Linked DNA regions of Caenorhabditis elegans. The protein of the gene in region 1 purifies or fractionates together with the protein of each later gene. This does not show direct contact. Each region holds a gene or a part of one and is shown in the gene's direction. Other genes may lie near its edges.

Region 1 (4,690 bases):
AGCTTAAATGAATATTAATTTTATTATACTTTTTCAAAAAATATTCTAAAAATTATGTTTCAATGCGTCAATCAATTCAAGCTCAAGAGCCTAGTGTGGGAGATAAGGAAACAAAAACTGCACGATGTACTCTTCTTTTAGACGATAAGTGATAAGATAAGAAAATTAGGAGAGAGTGAAGAAAGTGAAGAGACGCAGACACACACAACGTGATTTGATTTTTAAGATAGTGGAATTAAAAGGTTCATATTGAAACTCTGTAATAATCGGGTTTCCAGAATTTTTCCGATTTTTTGTTTGTCACAATTTTTAAAAAAATTTCGTTTGATATTATTTTCTTCTGTAACTTATTAAACTTGTCTTAATAAACTTGCCATTTCAAATATTGCAACTTTCTAGAAATTTTGGAACTGTAATTTTTTATCAAAAGAAATTTGGAAACATTTTTAACACTTTTTTAAAATGATAAACTGGAACAGTGAAAATTTTCAATTTTCTAAATTTCATTAGAGATAAATTCATGAAAATTATGAATTTCTAATAAAAATTCAAATTTTTGGTAATTTTTAAATTTCACTGTTTTCCATTGGCATTATTTGTTCTGAATTTTTATAAAATGTATTAGGTTTTAAATATGGAACTTTTGACCATAATTTTTTTTTGGAAAAAAAATTTCTGTGGAGAAATTGAAGCAGAAAAGGAATCTATTGAGAAATTGAAATAGTAACGAAAAAAAAAACATTTTCTGTTTCAGCGAAATTTTTTAATTGTTTAACAATATATTTTAATGGAATACTGACACGAAAAGACAAAAACATAAAAATACAAAACATTCTGACTCATAGATCACATTATTATCATCAAAACAAATAAAACCAAAAACTGATAAACATAATTAATAATCTAAAGTTCCAAAGTGTCAACTCTGCCGATTTTTGATATTATAAAAACCTCTCAATTCCCGAATCACGTGGTAACCCGCCATGCATGACAATTCGATATACATGACCGCCGCTCAAACTGTGCCGATAACACTTTGAATTTATTCATTTTACTGTTTCTAGTGCAAAAACTCTCCGTTTCGTTGAGTTTTGCACTTTTTAGTAGATAATATTTTGAAAACTAACATTTATTTTTAGATTAAAAACTATTTTTGTTCAAGGTAAATTTAAATTTTTAAACCGATTGCATACCTAATGTGAAAAAATTAAAAAAAAAACTTCGACTGTTTTAGAGAGTATGTTTTAAAAAAGTGAGTTTGTAAAATTTTAGTGGTTCGGCATTTTTTTTAATACATTGAAATTGAAATTCAATTTTTTTTCAGTATCAAGATTGGTGCAGCCGCTGTGAAATGTCACCTTTATCAGTATTTTTGTTGAACTTCTGATTTAATTTTTGACAAAATTCACAGAAAAACGAACATTTGCAGAAATTTTTATCAAAAAAATATTTTTTAGAAATTTCCAATGTTTCATCAAGTAACAATAACTGCCAGAACATATTACACTTTGATGGACGGTTTAAATTAACTTCGAATATTCAAAAAGTTGCAGTTTCAGAATTATTTTAATTTGACTTCTTTTTTTTTAATCTCACTTCTTCGAAGAGTGTTTCACCCCTTCTCTAGAATTAACATCCAATAAATGCCAAATTACAGTAGAAAATGAAGAAAGAAGTAACCGAAATTTCATCGTATGATGCCACAAACTTGGTGTTCTACGTAAACGGAAAACGCGTCGAGGAAAAGGATGTTGACCCAAAAATGACACTGGCAACCTACTTGAGAGATAAATGTGAGTTCTTCGATTTTTGGAAAAAAAATTGCTGTTTCCACTAGGCAATATATACGTGTTTCTAGTTTACAAACGTGATGTGCATGAATTGATCTGAAATTCGAAAAAAGAATTTGATTCAAAACAAGCTATCTAGAAATCGTAAATATATAATCCCAAATAGCTAAAAATTTACGAGTTTATTTTATTTTAAGTGAAGCTCACCGGAACAAAAATTGGATGCAATGAGGGAGGATGTGGTGCCTGTACGATAATGATTAGTCATATTGAAAATGGTGAAATCAAGTGAGTTGGGCATGAATGTTTATTTTTTAATAGTAAGTATAGTAAGAAAATATATTTTCGGTTTCAACAATTATTAACAAATTTGTTTTGCATTGTGCTTTCCATTGCATTTTGCAAGGGTTTTTGTCAGATGTTCTTTCAGCAGAGCCGATATTGATTCTCATCACTTTTAAGGGGTTTTTTCTTGAATTGATATCTTGCATCGTTGTAAAAAAGTATTTGAAATTAAAAAGAAGTTTAAAAATGGTAAGGAACTACTTATCTGAACGTATTAGGAGTTTAAAATAGGAATTGGTAATAACGCCAACTTGAAACAGTACAATTTTTGAGAATGTATTTTTTAAAGCCTAATTGTTCCAGACATTTCTCCGCTAACTCCTGTCTTATGCCAGTTTGTGGAGTTTTTGGAAAAGCCGTAACTACTGTGGAGGGTATTGGAAGTGTCGCCAAGAATCGGCTTCATCCAGTTCAGGAGAGACTTGCCAAGTGAGTTGAATTTTTCGTATTGTCGGGAAAACTTATGGAATAATTTTTAGCAATGTTCAGTTATTAAGAACACTTGTAGAAACAGTCAATTTTTTGTTGTTGAAATTTTAAAAATCTTCTGTTTCAAGGGATCCTTTTAAAAACCTGAGATAATACATTTTATTGTTGTAATCAAAATAATCCTAATCCATTCTTCAACTGTTTTGCTTCCAGAGCTCACGGCTCCCAATGTGGATTCTGCACACCTGGATTCGTCATGGCAATGTATGCTTTGTTGCGTAACAATCCAAATCCTACAATATCCGATATTAATTTGGGTCTACAAGGAAACCTGTGCCGTTGTACGGGTTATCGTCCGATTCTTGAAGCATTCTATAGCTTTGCAGTTGATGAAAGTGGAACTTTGAAGGTAAGTTGGGAACCGGGAAATGTCGGATGCTCAAGAAAAGCTAGAAGGTTGTCTTTAACACTCAATATTGCCGTATCATAAAAAAAAGTAACTAGATATGTTCCACATCAAAACTTAAAAAGTAAAATGAAACAGGAGAGCACTCTTAAATCTTTTTTTTTTTCGGAAAACTTGTTTTTTCAATAGTTTTTTGAGCGCCCGACATTTTCTAGTAATTTTCCCTAAAAAAACTGTCGAATTATCCAGGTCACCGAAGAAAATGGCTGTGGAATGGGAGAAAATTGCTGTAAAGTTAAGAAAACTGCATGCGGAGGCTCCGATGAAACTACACCGGGATACACTGGCGGAGAAAGAAAACGAGTAGGTTTTACTTTGAAATTTACAAATTAAAAATTAAAAATTACATGAAAATATTTCAGAAAATCCAACTGAGTGACATGTCGGACTGCAAACCATACGATCCAACTCAAGAGCTCATTTTTCCACCGGAGCTCAAGCTTCATGGATATGAGTCCATGTCGTTTGCCTATGATCATCATCACACCAAATGGTATCAACCTGTCAGTTATGAGTGAGTTTTTTTTTAATTGGATTTGTGAAATTAAACACTCATTAGTTTTGTATTTTCTCATTAGTTTTGTATTCAAAATAGAGAAAAACGCTCATTAAAAGTGAGAGTTTATTTATCCGGAACACGAAAAAGTACAAATATTATGAAAACAAATCGAACTTATTGATTAAATTGAAACGATTTGAATTAGATAAATAAAATAAGTGAAACAGAAAAAAAATTTAACATTTGTTGTTAGTAGAATCGACAAAGAGAGACTCATATATATATATGTATTAAAGATATAGTCTAGTAACAAAACAAATCAATTGCGTGAAACTGTAATTTTTTGTCCAAAAAGTCAATGCAGGGTTTTTGAATTTTTTGGTACAGAAAATTACAGTTTCACGCAATTGATTTTACTAGATTATTTTTATGGTCGAAATTATTTCTCCTATCAACAAGCATCTAACAGTATAACAATTCCAGTGACCTTCTATCACTGAAACGAGAACTTCCTCATGCTCGTCTAATCTCTGGAAATTCCGAGTTGGCAATTGAGCTCAAATTTCGATTCATCGATCTTCCGGCAGTTATCAATCCACGACAAGTAAAAGTACTTCATGAAAAACATTTGGAAAATGATGGAGTTTATATGGGAACTGGAATGTCGTTGACTGATATGGATAACTATTCTGTTCAATTAATGAAAGATCTTCCAAGAGAACAGACTGCAGTGTTGAAGCATGTTCATGAGATGCTCCATTGGTTTGCGGGTATTCATGTCAGAAATGTTGCGGTTAGTACTTTTTTTTCAGATACATATATCAGACGATACAATAATGATCCAAACTTATCAAAAATTTCATAAAAGTTTGAAACAGAAAAATAAACAAATTTATCTCATTTCAGTCAGTTGCTGGAAACATTGCAACAGCATCTCCAATCTCTGATCTCAATCCAATTTGGATGGCATCCAATGCATTGGTCGTTTTGGATTCAGAAGCCCGTGGTGAAAAACGAGTTCATATCGATGAGAAGTTCTTCTTGGGATACAGAAAAACCGTTATTCAACAGGATGAAATTATCAAGGCTGTCATTGTTCCGTTGTTGGAAGAAAATGAGCATTTTGCGGCTTACAAGCAGGCTCAACGACGAGAAGATGAC
Region 2 (3,974 bases), on another chromosome or scaffold:
ATAACTCACAAGCTTTCGTTTTCTGAAATTTTGTAAATAATCAATTAAAAAAAGAATTTTTATTGCACGATATAAACAAAAATATTTAATACTTAAATACTAATATCATTTTTTTGTGTAATAAGTCAGATCAGCCGAAACCGTATTAAAACATGGTAGAGGGGAAGGGGTTCACTGCAACTTTTCTTAAACGAGGGACGAGGAAATGCGGTTTCTAGGCCATGGCCGAGGATCCGACAAGATTTAGCGGCAATTTATCTTGCTTTGTTTTCCGCTTGTTTTTTTTTTTGTTTTTCACAGTTTTTTTTCCCGTTTTTCCTATTAAAACTGATGGATAAATATTTTTTCGCAGATGCTAGAACAATCGGCAAGAAGCGGTGAAAATGATCAATGTAATATGATGGATTACAGGCATACCAAACCTAAACTTTTTCCGAAACATGATATATATACTGCTTAGATGCTGAAACTACTTGATTTTCATAACGAGACCGCTGAAAAAAAGTTTTGAGATTTTTAAAATTCAACATTTTGTGCGAAAATATCGACTTTTTCACCAAAAAAGTTGAATTTTAAAAATCTCAAAACTTTTTCAGCGGTCTCGTTATGAAAATCAGGTAGTTTCAGCCTCTAAGCAGCATATATTTCATGATTCGGAAAAAGTTTAGGTTTAGTATTCCCGTAATCCATCGCTACACAATTTTTCAGTTGGAAATTGTTCTAGCATCTGCAAAAAATATTTATTCATCAGTGTTAATAAGAAAAAAACGGGAGAAAAATCGGTGAAAAACCAAAGAAAAAACGCGGAAAACAAAGCAAAATAAATTGCCGCTAAATCTTGTCGGATCCCCGGCCGTGGCCTAGAAACCGTATTTCCTCGTCCCTCATTCAAAAAAGTTGCAGTGAGGTTAGGAAATCATCACAGGATTCTTCTATTCATGTCAGTATGCAATAGATTATAATTATTATATACAGCTACCCGAGAGGTTAAAGGTATAATGGCTGGCTAGCCAACGATCGGACGATCCAGTGAACACATCTTTCGATATTTGTTCCTTCTAGCGCCGAAACCGGAAGAACTGCAAGGTCCGAGCGGTGATTGTCGTCTTCGAGCAGCATTCGGACCTGGAAAATATGATTTTAATGCAGGAATTTCGGTTTTTTTTTTCGATTTTTGAGAAAAATCTGACCTCAGCGGCAGCGGCGGCTCCTTCCATTTCACTTTTATTCACCGCTACTAAAACTGGAATATTTTGAACTATTTCGTTGGCCATTACTTCTTCTGAAATATTCGTATTATTATTATTATTTCTGGTATAAATTTGATTTATTTCAATTTCAAACTACTTACTAAACTGAGATGCTACTATTGGGAAGAGATCGCTCCTTGTTGCGTCCACAACAAAAATCATGGCATTTGCATCGTCGTAATATGTCGCCCAGAGTTCTCGTAAACTCTCCTGGCCTCCGAGATCCCAGAAATGAAGACATGTGTTGTTGAGCTCGACATTTCCAGCTGAAAATTGAAAAAAAAAATTTTTTGATTTTTAATTCATTTTAGAGGCTTACTATTCAAACCAACTGTCGCCGTGATTTTTGATGGATTCAGAACCCCGTAGTCCTTTACAAAGTGAGATTTTGTTTGCTCCAGAAACGTCTGAAATCGATAATTTCTGATATTAATCGGTGAGATCTCAAATTCAAGAGACTTACAGTTTTTCCAGCATTATCCAGACCGACTATCACCACATAATAGTCTTTTTTCTTGAAGAATTTCTCCCAGATACCCGCCGAAAGTGTGTACATATGTGAAATATTCGATTTTAAAGAGGAAAAACCGAGCGGAGTTGGCAAAATAAAAGAAAAACGAGATATGCGCCAAGGACGCCTGCTGGCGCATTCTTCGTCTCGTTGGCACGCAACTGGTGCGCTTACGCTTCGTGTACGAAATTTATTTATTTTTCGAATAGATTTTGGTGGATTTTTTCGTTTTTAATTGTTTTTTTTTGGTTTTAAAACTCAATTTTCTTGTTTTACGCAATAAATACTTGATCAGAAATCGATTTTTTGTGTGTAAAATCCAGAATTCGTGCATAAAATTTCTCTAAGGGGGTTTTTAACTTTTAGGAGTAAAGATTCTAGGTATTTTGAATGTATAAGACCGAAATATGCTCAAATAAGCGAATTTTGCAATAAAAATTCTTAAAGAGTGCTCGAACATTTTTTATGTCGGGTAAAATCTCCAATTCTGGCTACTTTCCATGTCGCAGCGATTGGAAGTGGACTTTTTTGGAATTTTCATCTCTTTTTGCATAATTTGATCGATTATCTCACGTTTTTAAGCAATAAAGGATGATAATTTAAAAAAAAGTGAACTTTCCATCGCCGCGACGCGGAAAAGTGGCCAAATTTCGCTATTCCACTCAGTAAACCCGTTCAGAATATACCCAGATTTAAACCGTACAAGCCTATATTATGAAAAATTCTAATTTTGGGCAGATGTAAACCAAGATTGTCTAGATTCAAACATAATTTGCATAGATTGCAAGTTTGAGTAGATGTAAACTGAATTTGTGTAGGTTTGTGTAGATCCAAACCAAATTTGTGCAGATAAATTCACAATATAGGCTTGTACGGTTTTAATTTGGTTTAAATCTGGGTATATTCTGAACGGGCTTACTGAACAAGTGAACTTAGCCGGGTTTTTCGGAATTTTGAGAAATTTCATTACGAAATTCGTCCATTTGAGCACATTTTGGATCTTCAACGTTAAAAATTACTCCTGTTTTAATAGTAAAAATTAAATTTTAAAAAACGATTTTTATGCTTGAAACACAGAGTTTACATGCAAAAATCGATAGAAATTTGAGTTTTAAACCAAAAAAAATCACTAAAAAACCCAGAACCGTTACGATTTCCTCTTTTAAATACAAATTTAAGAACTTTCAGATGTTCTTCCACTTGTCACTCGACCATGAAGTCTGCCTCCATCCGAAATATTTCGGTCCAAACCTGAACGAAACCATCAAAATGAAGCTGTTCAACGAAGTCGAGGGAACGTGCACAGGAAAGTACGGATTCGTCATCGCAGTCACCACAATCGACACGATCGGCCACGGCCTGATCCAGCCTGGCCGTGGATTCGTCATCTACCCGGTCCGTTACAAGGCCATCGTGTTCCGCCCGTTCAAAGGACAAGTCGTCGATGGAGTCGTCACACAGGTCAATAAAGTCGGCATTTTCTGTGATATCGGACCACTTTCATGCTTCATCAGTCGTCATTGTATTCCACCAGACATGGAATTCGATCCGAACAGTGAGAAACCGTGCTACAAGACCAATGATGAGGCGAATGTGATTCGGAATGATGATGAGATCCGTGTGAAGCTCATCGGAACACGTGTCGATGCTAACGACATTTTTGCCATCGGAACCTTGATGGACGATTTTCTCGGACTGTGCCAAGCGGAATGATCTGGTTTTCAACGATTCGCTGTATCATAATTTATCTATCACCACGTTATTTCACAATATTTTAATTTTTACTTTTTTTAAAATCCATCTGTTACGTTTAAACCTTAAAGGATCTCATTTTATTGGTTTTACTTGCTTTTTGGAACTTAAAACTTGGTTTTTTACCATTTTTAATATCTTTTTTTTTATATTCTCCTCATTTATATTCTTTAATTGGACTTAAAACTCGCATAATCCCATTTCAGATGAAGTTCCTTCCCGATGTTGCGATGTTCAGCGAGATCCGCCAGATGAATATTCGTCAGGTACTGAATTTTGCAAAAAAATTATTTTCGAGCGAAAAAAAGGGATTTTCAGTGGAAAAAGGGTGTATTTTTATAGGAAATCATCGAAAAATCCAGAGAAAATTTAGTTTTTAAGACAAATTTAATATTTTTCATGGAAAATATGTTTTTCTTTTCAGGACCGCGCAGGAGTTTTTAATTCGTAAAAATTTTTTT
Region 3 (5,787 bases), on another chromosome or scaffold:
TTCGAATTAAAAACGACAGCCTGGGTGCCACGACGACCATGAAAATGACGTTTTTCGTACGGTGAGATGTATTTTTCCGATTTTTTGGCGAGAATTTCCGGAATTTTGGAGGATTTTGAAGTTGGCGGTGGAGCAATGTGTTCTGGAAGAAAAATGGGTTATTTTTGGCGGGAAATTTCGAATTTTGAAGATCATTTTTGAGAAAAATGTGAAAAGTTGGAAAAACTTGAATTTTTTTTTCGAAAAAAAATTTTTTTTGCAAAAAAATTATCGTTTTTTGGAATTTTTTTAAAATTCGCTCAAAATTCGTAAAATTCCCAATAAAAAGTGAATATTTCGAAAAAAAATTTTTTTTTAATTTTTGAAAAAAAAAAAAATTTTTTGAAATTTTTTTTAATTCTTAAAAAATTTAATTTTTTTCACAATATTCCTTAAAATTAGCTTAAAATCACAAAATTCTAAATTTTAGCGATTTTTCCACCGAAAATTACAGAATTTTAACACAAAATCCGACAATTTTGGTGGTTTTGCTGGAAATTTAGAATTTTCCAGAGGTTTTTCCGTTTTTTCAGGATTTTTTAGAGAAAATTTTCGAAATTCACCAGAAACTCAATGGTAAATTGCCAATTAAAATGAAAATTTTGAAAAAAAAAATTTTTTTGAATTTTTGGAAAAAAAAATTTCTAAAAATTAGTTTTTTGCAAATTATAACTATTTTCTCTGAAAAAGTCCAATTTTGCAAATTTCCACTCAAAATTCAATTTAAACCATAATTTTCATCCGAAAACTTGCGAAAAATCCCATTTTTTCTGGATTTTTCCCAAAACTTTTGGGATTTTCCGATTGTTTTTTCTAAAAAATCAATTTTCCATGTAAAAACTGTATAGTTGGTGTGTTGACAGTGCAAATAAATTAACAATACATGTGAATTTATAAATTTGCATTTGAATAGGAGAAATACCGGGGGAAATGGTTTTTTTTTCTCATTTTCCTCAATTTTTCTCAATTTTCCCCATTTTTTTCCAGTTTTTTCGCATTCCCCTATCGATTTTCTCAATTATCGATTGATTTCCGCACCATTTTCAAGACTTTCAACCCTTTGCGTGGGCGGAGGTGGGGGCTTCTGCTCCAGCATGCCGGAGCACTGATCGAACGCGGCGACGAGATCACGAATTCGGCCGCGTGGCACCGGTTTGCGCCACGTAGCATCTGACGGTGGTGTATCGACGATCGGGTGCGGCATCCAGCGGTAGAACTGGAAAAAATTCGGATTTTTTGTGAATTGTATCGATTTTTCCGGATTTTTGCCCTACCTGACTTGATCCGATTGGCACCGGAGTTGGCGGCATCGATTTTCCGTCGAAATTCTCCATTTTTCGTCAAAAATCTCCGAAAAAACGGCGAAAAACCGTCTAGAAATCGCAAAAATCGATTTTAAAAATTCAAAATTCCATCGAATCCCTCACATCACTGAATTCGTGGCGAGACCTATTTGAAGTTTTGAGCTATGCGCCTTTAAGAAAAACCGTAGTTTTTTCGCGAATTATCGCATTTATGCGGAATTACGGCGAAAAAGCGAGAATAATCGAAGAAAATGCGATAAGAATTGATAAAAAATGATAAGATTGTGTGCATTATTCAGGTGACAGATTGATTTTTGCCCAAATGTTGCGTTTTTTGCGACGAGAAATAATTCATATATTTATTTAGTTATTTTAAGTTTAATTTTTTCACTTTAATAACATTACGCTCTTCAGAAAAAAGACAACATGACTGTGGACAAGGTTAAGCTGGTCATTGGTGAGTTAAACGGAGAATAAAAACAAATTTAAACCAATTTTTGAGTAAAAAATTCTATAAAATTCGTTAAAACTCGAGTTTTTTCTTTTCTTTTTTAAAATTTCTACTTTTCTACGTTCAAATACACCGAAAACGTATTAATTCCGAAGATTTTCGTTAAAACACTGGAAAATTCGAGCTTCCCGCCAGAAAACTGAGTTTGTCATTGGAGCGTGATTGCATTGCTTGGCGATTTAAAAAAACGAGTCTAGACGCTTCAATAATCGATTTTTTCGGATTTTCAGATGATAAACGAGAATTCTAATTTAAAAAAAAACAAGAAGTCTTCAAATTTTCCACTTATTTTCGTCAAAAAACACTTGAAAATTTGAAATTAGCGTCGGAAAACGGACTAGTTCACTGGAGCGCGCTTGCTTAGCGAGTTTTATCGATTTTTAAAGTTTTACATAAAGTTTACCAAATTTTAAGCTTTAAAAACAAAAATTAATCGATTTTCAGACTCTGACGGTGTAAGCGACGACGTGCGAGCCATCTCCCTAGCCTTGCAGCACCCAAAAGCCGAAATTCTCGCATTCACCGCAGTCCACGGCTGTGTGACAGTAGATCAAGCCTGTGCGAACATCAAAAGAACCATCCGAGCCAACGATCGGAGCAATATCCCAGTGTACAAGGGTGCGGCTAAATCGATTTTGTCGCTGCCGAAGGATGATACCGTATCCGATTTTTTCGGGATCGATGGGATCGGTGATAAGCCGGAGGAGTTCCCGAAAGTCGAAAGATCCGATTTTGAGGGGGAGGGGAAGCATGCGTCACTTGCTTTAATCGATATTTTGAGAGAGAATCGGGATGCCACTTTGGTGTAAGTTGAGGCTACAGTAACCCTTCTGTACCCCCACCGCATCCCTACAGTACCCCTACAGTACCCCCACAGCGACCTACAGTACCCTTGCACTATCCCTACAGTACCCCACAGTACCCCTGCACTATCCCTACAGTACCCCACAGTACCCCTGCACTATCCCTGGTACCCCGGACAGTTCCCCTCTAGTATTCACGCAGTAGTGTTACTGTATCCCCACAGTTCCCCACTGTGCCCTTGCAGTAACACTACAGTATCCCTACAGCAACTCTACAGTAACCCTATAGTACCCCGACAGTACCCCAACAGATCCCCTACATAACCCTACAGTACCTCTGGTAACCGAACAGGTACTCACACAATAGTGTTACAGTACCCCTACTGTTCCCCCCACAGTACACACACAGTAACCCTACAGTAACCCTACACTAATTCCACTAAAGCCCTATGGTACCATAACTGTATACCTACAGTATTTCTACAGTACCCCTACAGTATCCCTGGTACCTGGACAGTTTCCCTACCCTACCCCAATAGACCCCCTACAGAAACCCTACAGTACCGCTTCAGTACCCCTACAGTACTCCTACAGTACCCCTACATTACCCCTATAGTACCTCAACATTACCCTTTTAAAGTCCTACGGTACTCCTACAGTATCCATACAGTCCTCCTACATTTTCGCCTACGCCGAGCTATTCTGGGTGTCAAATTTCGATTTTAATCTATTTTTGCTCAATTTTCCCTAAATTTTCAACAAAACCATTTTTCAGAACCATCGGTCCCCTCACAAACGTGGCGATTGCTCTCCAACTCTGCGAGGAGTTTTCGACGTACCCATCCCGGCTGGTAATCATGGGAGGAAATTATTACGCGGTCGGAAATGTTGATGGAGGTAGGTTCTTCAAAAAAAAAACTAGGGTGGACCACTTTGGCGGGCCATATCTCGTTTCATTTTTGAGATATTAGAAAAGTTTCAACTATAAACCTGTTCAGAAACATGTAACAAACATTTCATCAGTTAACAATTTGTTGACAAACCCAAAACCGACGGAGATACAGACCCGTCAAACCCCAAAAAGCCCCCCTAATTTTTCCAGGTTCCTCAGCCGAGTACAACTTCCACGGAGACCCGGAAGCCGCGAGCATTGTGCTCCGACGTATGAAGTGTCCCATCACCATTGTTCCATGGGAGGCATTCTATTTTGAATCAAAGACCCATGATGCTTCAGTTGATTTTTCGGCTCATTTGAAGTATGGAACCCCATTGGCTAATTACTTATCGCTGGCCACCAGCATTGGTAAGGTTTTTTAAAGTTATAACTCGAAAACTAGGGTAGATACTAGATACCAAAAAAAAACTGTCAATTGGAAAGTTGTTCAGCGTAAAATTCTGCATTGATTTGACCCCCATGTCGATAATTTTCAAATTTTCGAATTTGACACTTAAAATTGCTCGCGGAGCTCCTAGCCTTTCCCAATGCTTCAAACGTATTGAAATTTCGTTTTTCGGATAACCCGCAAAATCCTACACCCAGAAAACTCAACTTCCAGCCTTAGCCAGCAGTTTTGTAAAGGGGTCGAAGTGGCTCAACTGGGTACATGTACGGCTTTGGTGAAATAGGTCCGGGCTTCTCGAGGCCCCGCTAGTGTGTCAATAATTTTTTTAGAGTTCGAAGGTCTGTAGATTAGTCAACAAGTACATTTTTTTTTTAGAGTTCCTAAATTCGATTTGTATGTTCCAGGCCGCGTAAAATGCGAGGCCAACGGCCGCCAATACTCCTACTGCGACGAGATCGCTGTGGCTACTGCAATCGATGAGGATAAAATTGCAAAAAAGTCTCAGTACCTGTATGTCGATGTAGAGCTGAATGGAACAAAGACACGTGGGCAGGTTGTGGTTGATTGGACCGAGCAACTGTGGTCGAATGAGGAAGCTCCGAATCAGGTGAAAACAAAAAATCTGGGGTTCTGTATAGTTTTTGAGGCATAACTCGGAAACTAGAAGAGTTATCAAAAAGTTGCCAACTGAAATGTTGTTCAGCGTGAAATTCTGCATCGATTTGACCCCCATATAAAAAATTTTCAAATTTTCAAGGTCGATACCCAAAATTGCTCACGGAGCTTTTAGCTGCTCATGGTGTTCCAAACTTATTTAAAACATGATTTTTGGGTTCCCCGTAGTATTCTACATCAGGTACGGTTGAATTCCAGCCTTAGCCAGCAATTTTGAAAATGGGGCGAAGTGGCTCAGGTGGGTAGATTGATGAGGCTATTGTGAAATAGGTCAGGGGTTCGAATCCCTTTGGGTTTATTAGTATTTTTAATGTTATATACAATAGATATACAACACTCAGACAGTCCAAAATCTAGATATTATCAATTTTTTGTTTAATAAACCAATTTTCAGCACACCCATCGCCGTGTCAAATTCGTCACCTCTTACGACGTTCATACTGTGGACAAGTGGCTTCATGCAGCCACTTCTGGAAGTGGAAAATTCGATTAACTCTTTAAAACTGTAAAATGTCACATTTATTGCTCTTATTTATGGTGTGTGTGTGTGTGTGTTGAAATTTGCAATAAAAAGTTATTTTTTAATGAAAATTATGACTTTTTCGAAGCATAACTCGAAAACTAGAGTAGATATCAAAAAAGTGTCAACTGAAATGTTGTTCAGCGTAAAATTCTGCACCGAATTGACCCCCATTTAGAATATTTTGTAATTTTCGAATTTGACACCTAAAACTGCTCGCGGAGCTCCTACCTGCTCCCGGTGAACCAAACTGGCTGAAAATCTGATATTCAAAATAACCGTGAAATTCTACACCAGGGACACCTAAATTCCAGCTTTAGCCAGCATTTTTGAAAAATGGTGAAAGTGGCTCAACTGGGTAGATGGACGGCTATGGTGAAAAAAGCCAGGGGTTCGAGTCCCCGCTAGTGTCAATAATTTTTCCAGGGTAATGCAACATGCAGGCAGATGTTTTAATGGAGAACATCAGAAATTTCAGCTGAATTTCGCAAATTTCAGGTTTTTCAAATAGTTTTCCGACTAAATCGCAAATAACTGAAAAACTAGAAGAGTTATCAAAAAGTTGCCAACTGAAATGTTGTTCAGCGTAAAA
Region 4 (6,916 bases), on another chromosome or scaffold:
TTATGATATTTGTCCATTGTGGTACCGTAGGCGTGTTTTTTTTTTAAATTTTTCCACTAGCTCTATTCATGTTTTAAATTGATTTATTTTTGATAACTAGACACAAATGACATGACGGATAAGAAATCAAATCTTTGTGCTCTCTCCCCGGCCCTTACGTTTTCTTCCTTCTCAATCCAAAATGCGTTTTGGCACGTCGAAAACATTGAGCAGTTGGAGAAACGAGGGGCAAGGCAGAAGGGCCGCGCTTTCGTTTTTTTTGCGTTGTCTTCTCTCGATCTCTTTCTCCGTGTTACGCATATTCTCTCGCACTTTGCTTCTGGCTGCTTAGTTTTTTTCCCTTGCTGAAGGCTGAAAAAGTGAAGAAGAAGAAAACACACCAATCATTCATTCAATCCAGTCGATTTGATAGGAAAATGTAATTCACAATTTTGGTTTTCATGTTTTGTTTCTGTTGTATAAATACATTCAGTTGTCTGGGTCCCCTGCGTCAAGATCAAAAGTGCATCCCCCCTCTAGGGGCTTCTTTCGTGTATTGCATCATGTGTACTTGCCATAGCATATTTCAAAGTCGAAACCTTTTATTTTTGGCTTTTTTCTACTTTTCTTTTTTCCCATGCGTTCGTCACACTCATTATTTACTCTGCATCTTTTCTCTCTCCATTTCAATCACTATCACTTCTCACTTGGCATCATTCATTGTTTTCTTATACCAAAGGAACTAAATAAAACGTTTGTTTGTTGAAGTTTCGGTATTATTTTGAACGTTTAAACTTAATATCTACTCAAATGGATTAAACTAATTCAATAAACTTTTATGGCGGTTCAAAATTTCGAAAAAACATGGCCTAATTTTAGTTAAAATCTTCAATTTTGGCAATACTTTTTTTTTGATTTTTCAATCCTCTGTTGCATATTTGGTCGTTCATCTCTTGTTTTTTTTTTGATTATAGTACAGTTAAAGCCGATAGGTGACCTATTTTTTTTTATTTTAGGTTACCTATCAGCTGTAAATTACGTATTTCCTCTAATAGTATATCATCCAATTACTTTACTCCAAAAGGATATATCTATGTTCGTTTAAAAAATATCAATAAACTGTCAACTGCAAATATATAGAAAAAAATAAAAATAAGTGTTTTTTCAGTTGATCAGTTTTCAATAAAACAAACGCCAACTGAGATTTAAGCTGTCAAAGTTGAGTAATGGAGTGCAATGTATACTACATTAGAAAAAATACGATGTATCCTAATTAACGAAATGAAGTCAAGCTATGCCATTAAATATAATAATTTGAAAAAAAGTTAATTTCTTCGGACCGATGCAACACGAAAAAATGGACAAAATTAGAGATTTTAGCTGAAATAGGTTTTTTTTTGAATTTTTAAATTTTTAAAATTTCAAACCGACATAAAAAATTTTGAAAAAAATTTGGAAGTTTCATTACAAAATTCATTGAATTTAAAATGTCCAGAACCACTCAATGCTCCTCCTATAAAAATAATAATTAAAAGTTGACCTTCCACAGGGTAATATGACCGCGCGCAGTTGTTTGTTTCTGTGTTTTCCTTGTTGTATCTGCGTCGCGCACTTTCTAACCACAATGGTCCCTGCCACACTGTATTACGCGCATTCATTGTCCGCATCGATTAATCAGTTTTTGCTTGTCAACATTTTTCTCTTGCAGTTCTCAGATTTATCCTTTTCTTCTCAAAATTTTTTCATTCTTCTCATCCCATTTTTCTCATCCTTCGTGTTAAATACTATTGTCATAAATTACAGAATTTTGCATAATTCGAAATGGACGCGGACGCATCAACAATCACGCCAGAAGAGCTCGACTTTATCCGTCAGCGAGCTTTGCGCCGCTTCGACTCAATCGTCCCAACTGCTGGAAGAGAAGGAACTGAGATTGCGTCGGATATTTTCAAGGGACGTACTCTCGCGATTTACACGTCCGGAGGAGACTCTCAAGGTACGAATGAATTAGGGCAAAATTTGAAATTTTGACCTGCCATGAAAATTTTGTGTGGAGTCTCCATATAAAATTCATTTCACTTTTAATAAAATTCAAACTTTTCCTTGTAAGAATACGTTTGAAACTTTATTTTCCAGGTATGAACAGCGCTGTTCGAAGTATCACAAGAATGGCTATATACTGTGGATGTAAAGTGTATTTGATCTACGAAGGATACGAAGGAATGATTGAAGGTGGAGATTTCATCAAGGAAGCCACGTGGAACACCGTTTCCGATATTATTCAGCAAGGAGGAACTATCATTGGTTCCGCAAGATCTTCCGAATTCAGAACTCGTGAAGGGCGTCTCAAGGTGAGAAAATAATTAGCCCAATAAAACAAATTTTTGAAAGTTTTGAAAGTTAAAATTAAATTTCCAGGCAGCCACCAACCTGATTAATCGTGGAATTGGTCGTCTTGTATGCATTGGTGGAGATGGATCTCTCACTGGAGCCAACACTTTCCGTTTGGAGTGGACCGATCTTGTGCAAGAACTTGTGAAAAATCAACGAGTCACTGCGGCGGCTGCGAAAAAGATTCCTTACATTCAAATTGTCGGACTTGTCGGATCCATCGACAACGATTTTTGTGGAACCGACATGACGATTGGAACCGACTCGGCACTTCAAAGAATTATCAGTTCTATTGATGCTGTAGTCGCAACTGCACAAAGTCATCAAAGGGCTTTTGTTATTGAGGTGATCTCAATTTATCAAGAAAATAATTCATATACTTATTTTACTCTAGGTCATGGGTCGCCATTGTGGATATCTGGCTCTAGTTGCTGCTCTAGCTTCCGAAGCCGACTTCTGCTTCATTCCTGAATGGCCGGCACCGGAAAATTGGCGTGACGTCTTGTGCGACAAACTTTCTCAAATGAGATCAGAGGGTCAACGTCTTAACATCATTATTGTCGCCGAGGGAGCTATTGATCGTGATGGAAAGGCTATCACCGCCGAGGATGTGAAGACTGCTGTCAAGGAGAAGCTGAAATACGATACACGCGTTACAATTCTTGGACATGTTCAACGCGGAGGTGCTCCATCTGCTTTTGATCGACTTCTTGGATGTAGAATGGGAGCAGAAGCAGTTTTTGCTCTCATGGAGATGACTGAGGTTTCTGGGATTTTCTGTGAATTTTTCATTAATGGTTTGAACGTATGAACCAATATGTTTTCAAATTAACAAAAATCTTAATTGTAGTTTTTTTCAGTGCCGCAGCGGCCCGAAGTTGGCTTTTTTGGATTATCGAACTTTGTCGTAAATTTTGTTCCTTCATCTCATATTATTTTGATAGTTAAGGTTAGGGCTTCCTTGTGAGAGAGGCGCGGCGTTGGCGCCTCCACGGGCCTCCCGCCGGACCTCCTTCACCGTCTGCCGCTGTTTCGCAGCTTGGCGTGAAAAGAGAAATTTGACGTGTGCGCAACGTAGTTCGCAAAGATGGCAGCGGTCGACACTTTGGGGGTTCCGCGCCGTACTATACCTGTGGCGCGATTTGCGGCGTGAAGCCGGCGCTGACGCCTTACCGGCGCCACATGGAAGCCCTAGTCAAGGTATATTTAAAACCGGTAGGTGACCAAAAAATGTCAAAAATTAGTAAATGCAATAAAAGATAATAATGCGCTCAAAAAATCAATTTCAGGCAGCTTCGACACCGAAAAAAGCTCAGAATTAGAGATTTTAGACTATTTTTTCTAACATTTTGTACAGTCAAAGAAAAAAGTTTGAACATTTTTTGCAAAGCTTCATAACGAAATTTACAAATTTTTTCGTTTATTTGAGCACATTTTGGGTCTACACTTTCACCGTTCAAACCGTTATTCCTGCTTGAAAGAAAAGAAGTATAATTTTTTTTTATTTCAGGAATCAGAACCTTGTGTTATCTCAATTGACGGAAATGTTATGGTCCGTGTGCCACTTCTCAAGTGTGTCGAACGAACTCAAATGGTACAGAAGGCAATGGCGGATAAGGACTGGACCACGGCTGTGATGCTTCGTGGACGCAGTTTCCAGAGAAATCTTGAAACGTACAAGTTGCTGACTAAGATGAGAACCGTCGAAAAGGACAATCTTTCGGAAGGACACAAATTCAATGTTGCTGTAATCAACGTTGGCGCTCCAGCCGGTGGAATGAATGCAGCCGTCCGCTCTTATGTTCGAATGGCTCTCTACCATCAGTGTACCGTGTACGGTATTGAAGACAGTTTTGAGGGACTTGCCAATGGGTCATTCAAACAGTTCAAGTGGTCCGATGTTACTAACTGGGCAATGAACGGAGGATCGTTCCTTGGCACACAGAAAAGTCTTCCAACTGAGAAAACTATGCCTCAACTTGCTGCTCAACTGAAGAAGCACAATATTCAAGCGTTATTGCTTGTTGGAGGATTTGAAGCGTATCACAGCACAATAATTCTTGCTGAAAATCGCGAAAAGTATCCCGAGTTTTGCATTCCAATGTGTGTCATCCCATGCACCATCTCGAACAATGTTCCAGGTTTGTTTTTCATTATATAAGGTTTTTAAACAATACATTTCTAATTTTAGGAACTATGGTGTCTCTCGGATCCGATACCGCGATCAATGAGATTTGCCAGATGATCGACAAAATCAAGCAATCTGCCACTGGTACCAAGAGAAGAGTTTTCATTGTCGAAACAATGGGAGGATACTGTGGTTACCTTGCCACTCTTTCTGCGTTGAGCTCCGGTGCGGATAATGCGTACATTTTTGAAGAGCCATTCACCGTTCAAGACCTCTCCGATGATGTTGATGTGATTCTCTCAAAGATGGAAGTTGGAGCGAAACGCTACTTGGTTGTCAGAAATGAGTGGGCCGACAAGAACCTCACCACAGATTTTGTGCAGAATCTTTTTGATTCTGAAGGAAAGAAGAACTTCACCACAAGAGTCAATGTTCTCGGACATGTTCAACAGGGTGGATCTCCAACGCCGTTCGACAGAAATATGGGAACCAAGCTGGCCGCTCGTGCTTTGGAGTTTTTGCTCATTCAGCTCAAGGAAAATTTGACGGCCGATAACAAGGTGATCGCCAAGTCAGCCCATACTGCGACGCTTCTTGGACTCAAAGGACGAAAGGTGGTGTTCACGCCGGTGCAAGATCTCAAGAAGGAGACCGATTTTGAGCATCGTCTTCCATCAGAGCAATGGTTAGTGGACAAGTAGTTTGTAGAAAAAACTATTCAATCTCTAGACTAAAAATAACATAATGGAATACAGCATGTCTGTATTCTTGTTAAATATCTAAACCATAAGTTTAAGGGCTATATGCAATACTCGTGGAGCACGATTTCCTCTAGCGTTAGAGCGCACTTTCTGACATCTTACAAACTCGCGCGGTAATTTGTTTCTATCAAAAATCAGTTTCTTTGGCTAGTTTTTGGCTCCTTTAGAAGATTTTTTTTCCGATTTATATTATTGTTATGATTTGTTAAACATTTTCGATATACAAATCGAAAGTGTGTAAATTTAGGAAATTTTGGAAACTGTATCATAACAGTCAGTTTTTCGATTTTAGGCCGGTATTTGGTTGATCATTTTGTAGAGAAGATGCATATTCATGAAATCCCTTGATTACTTATTGATTTGATTAGTTCTCAACATTTAAAATTTGAAAAAATCACGTAGATCTTTATAACTGTGTAATTTCAAAAATCATGAAGTTAATCACCGCCGGATATGAATTGTTTATAATTTCTGTGATGACTGTTTAAAAAAAAAACTTTCGTTCTCGGCCGTAAGAGCCCAATTTTACATGTTTGCCATTCGCTTAATGTTCCTCATAGTCAGCAATAATGTAAATTAAAAATTTGACAATAATTTCCGTAGAACCCAAAAAATATGTTTTCAAAAACTGATTTCCTGTGGAAGCTGATTCCCGCGTATTCGAGAATTTGTTAGTTGTTAGTAAGCGCGCTCTAATGACAATGAACGCTCCTGGACACATTCTGCGATAAATTTCAATTTAAAAATTTCAGGTGGATGGCTCTGCGTCCACTTCTCCGTGTTCTCGCTCGTCATCGTTCGACCGTTGAAAGTTCTGCAATTTTGGAATCTGTTGAAGAAGAAAGCGCCGACTCACACATGTTCTGAAAAGTTTTGATGTCTCCATAGCGACTACTTTTTTCTGTCTGTCATAATACTTTTTTTTGTGTGTTACACTTACTCGGTATTGTAAATGTTCTCATGGTCTATATTAAATCTTTGCTCGTCTAAATTGTCTCTTTTTACTAAGCTTCCATAGGTTCTCACAATTTTTTTTCTCGCCATTCTTTGCACAAGTTGATTGAAGTCTTAGCCCCTATTTCTTAGTAGTTGAAAATATGCCATGATGCAAATAAATGAAGTGTTTTAAAATATGTAGTTATTTTAAAAATATGTTTATTCAAAGTATTTTATCATTAGAACTGTTCCTATGAAAAGTTTTTTTTGTTCCAAAGCTACAGAGGTTTAAAAAAAAATCATCTAAAAGTAGACCCGTGAGATGTCCACCGCTATATCTCCAGTCAAACTTCTGTTGAAAATTTTAGGGGATCTGAAAAAGAAATCAGCAATATTGTGAACAACATTTTGATTAATTTCACTATAATATTTGATCTTTTTGGCACTATAAGTATAGACTATTAATTAATCTAAATGATATTTGTATTTGTTACAAAATCAAGACAAGAATCTTTAATACACAGAAATATATTTTATTTCTAAAAAGTATGTACAAAGTCCATATATCACAGTGAGAAACACTTAAATCTTCATTTTCTTGATCCAGTAACCGACGTCTCTGTGATAGTATCGGTCGTTGATTTTTCAGGCTTAGCATCAGCTGCAAAAGCTGGATCATCGAAGCCAGTACTAGCTGATCCACCACCAAACAATCCACCGG

Evidence for each region.
Region 2: the proteins of xdh-1 (region 1) and rpb-7 fractionate together in Caenorhabditis elegans (co-fractionation; one large-scale study listed by BioGRID). This does not show direct contact.
Region 3: the proteins of xdh-1 (region 1) and Y43F8C.13 fractionate together in Caenorhabditis elegans (co-fractionation; one large-scale study listed by BioGRID). This does not show direct contact.
Region 4: the proteins of xdh-1 (region 1) and pfk-1.1 fractionate together in Caenorhabditis elegans (co-fractionation; one large-scale study listed by BioGRID). This does not show direct contact.

Annotation. Positions count from the first base shown.
Region 1 is NC_003282.8:14,409,860-14,414,549, reverse strand, and holds the start of xdh-1 (xanthine dehydrogenase), read left to right. Parts: upstream 1-1,655; 5' UTR 1,656-1,663; coding exon 1,664-1,793; intron 1,794-1,871; exon of another isoform or gene 1,872-1,892; intron 1,893-1,987; coding exon 1,988-2,078; intron 2,079-2,183; exon of another isoform or gene 2,184-2,204; intron 2,205-2,259; exon of another isoform or gene 2,260-2,280; intron 2,281-2,323; exon of another isoform or gene 2,324-2,349; intron 2,350-2,438; coding exon 2,439-2,564; intron 2,565-2,582; exon of another isoform or gene 2,583-2,603; intron 2,604-2,727; exon of another isoform or gene 2,728-2,748; intron 2,749-2,777; coding exon 2,778-2,973; intron 2,974-3,039; exon of another isoform or gene 3,040-3,060; intron 3,061-3,219; coding exon 3,220-3,333; intron 3,334-3,392; coding exon 3,393-3,544; intron 3,545-3,610; exon of another isoform or gene 3,611-3,631; intron 3,632-3,689; exon of another isoform or gene 3,690-3,710; intron 3,711-3,798; exon of another isoform or gene 3,799-3,819; intron 3,820-3,968; exon of another isoform or gene 3,969-3,993; intron 3,994-4,012; coding exon 4,013-4,322; intron 4,323-4,341; exon of another isoform or gene 4,342-4,362; intron 4,363-4,435; and 1 more.
Region 2 is NC_003279.8:3,030,838-3,034,811, reverse strand, and holds rpb-7 (DNA-directed RNA polymerase II subunit RPB7), read left to right. Parts: upstream 1-1,873; coding exon 1,874-1,942; intron 1,943-2,949; coding exon 2,950-3,474; downstream 3,475-3,974. Other genes in the region: Y54E10BR.2 (ADP-ribosylation factor-related protein 1), read right to left, coding at 988-1,125, 1,191-1,282, 1,352-1,516, 1,570-1,657, 1,714-1,806; sec-11 (Signal peptidase complex catalytic subunit SEC11), read left to right, coding at 3,720-3,779.
Region 3 is NC_003283.11:19,693,369-19,699,155, reverse strand, and holds Y43F8C.13 (Nucleoside hydrolase), read left to right. Parts: upstream 1-1,757; 5' UTR 1,758-1,769; coding exon 1,770-1,800; intron 1,801-2,298; coding exon 2,299-2,659; intron 2,660-3,432; coding exon 3,433-3,554; intron 3,555-3,759; coding exon 3,760-3,960; intron 3,961-4,404; coding exon 4,405-4,607; intron 4,608-5,069; coding exon 5,070-5,168; 3' UTR 5,169-5,256; downstream 5,257-5,787. Other genes in the region: ani-3 (Anillin-like protein 3), read right to left, coding at 1-142, 1,078-1,255, 1,314-1,373.
Region 4 is NC_003284.9:2,939,090-2,946,005, forward strand, and holds pfk-1.1 (ATP-dependent 6-phosphofructokinase 1), read left to right. Parts: upstream 1-1,782; 5' UTR 1,783-1,800; coding exon 1,801-1,975; intron 1,976-2,115; coding exon 2,116-2,330; intron 2,331-2,397; coding exon 2,398-2,715; intron 2,716-2,764; coding exon 2,765-3,133; intron 3,134-3,880; coding exon 3,881-4,511; intron 4,512-4,561; coding exon 4,562-5,183; exon of another isoform or gene 5,184-6,011; coding exon 6,012-6,126; 3' UTR 6,127-6,389; downstream 6,390-6,916. Other genes in the region: Y41G9A.10 (Prion-like-(Q/N-rich)-domain-bearing protein), read right to left, coding at 6,786-6,916. UniProt on the Caenorhabditis elegans protein: Catalyzes the phosphorylation of D-fructose 6-phosphate to fructose 1,6-bisphosphate by ATP, the first committing step of glycolysis.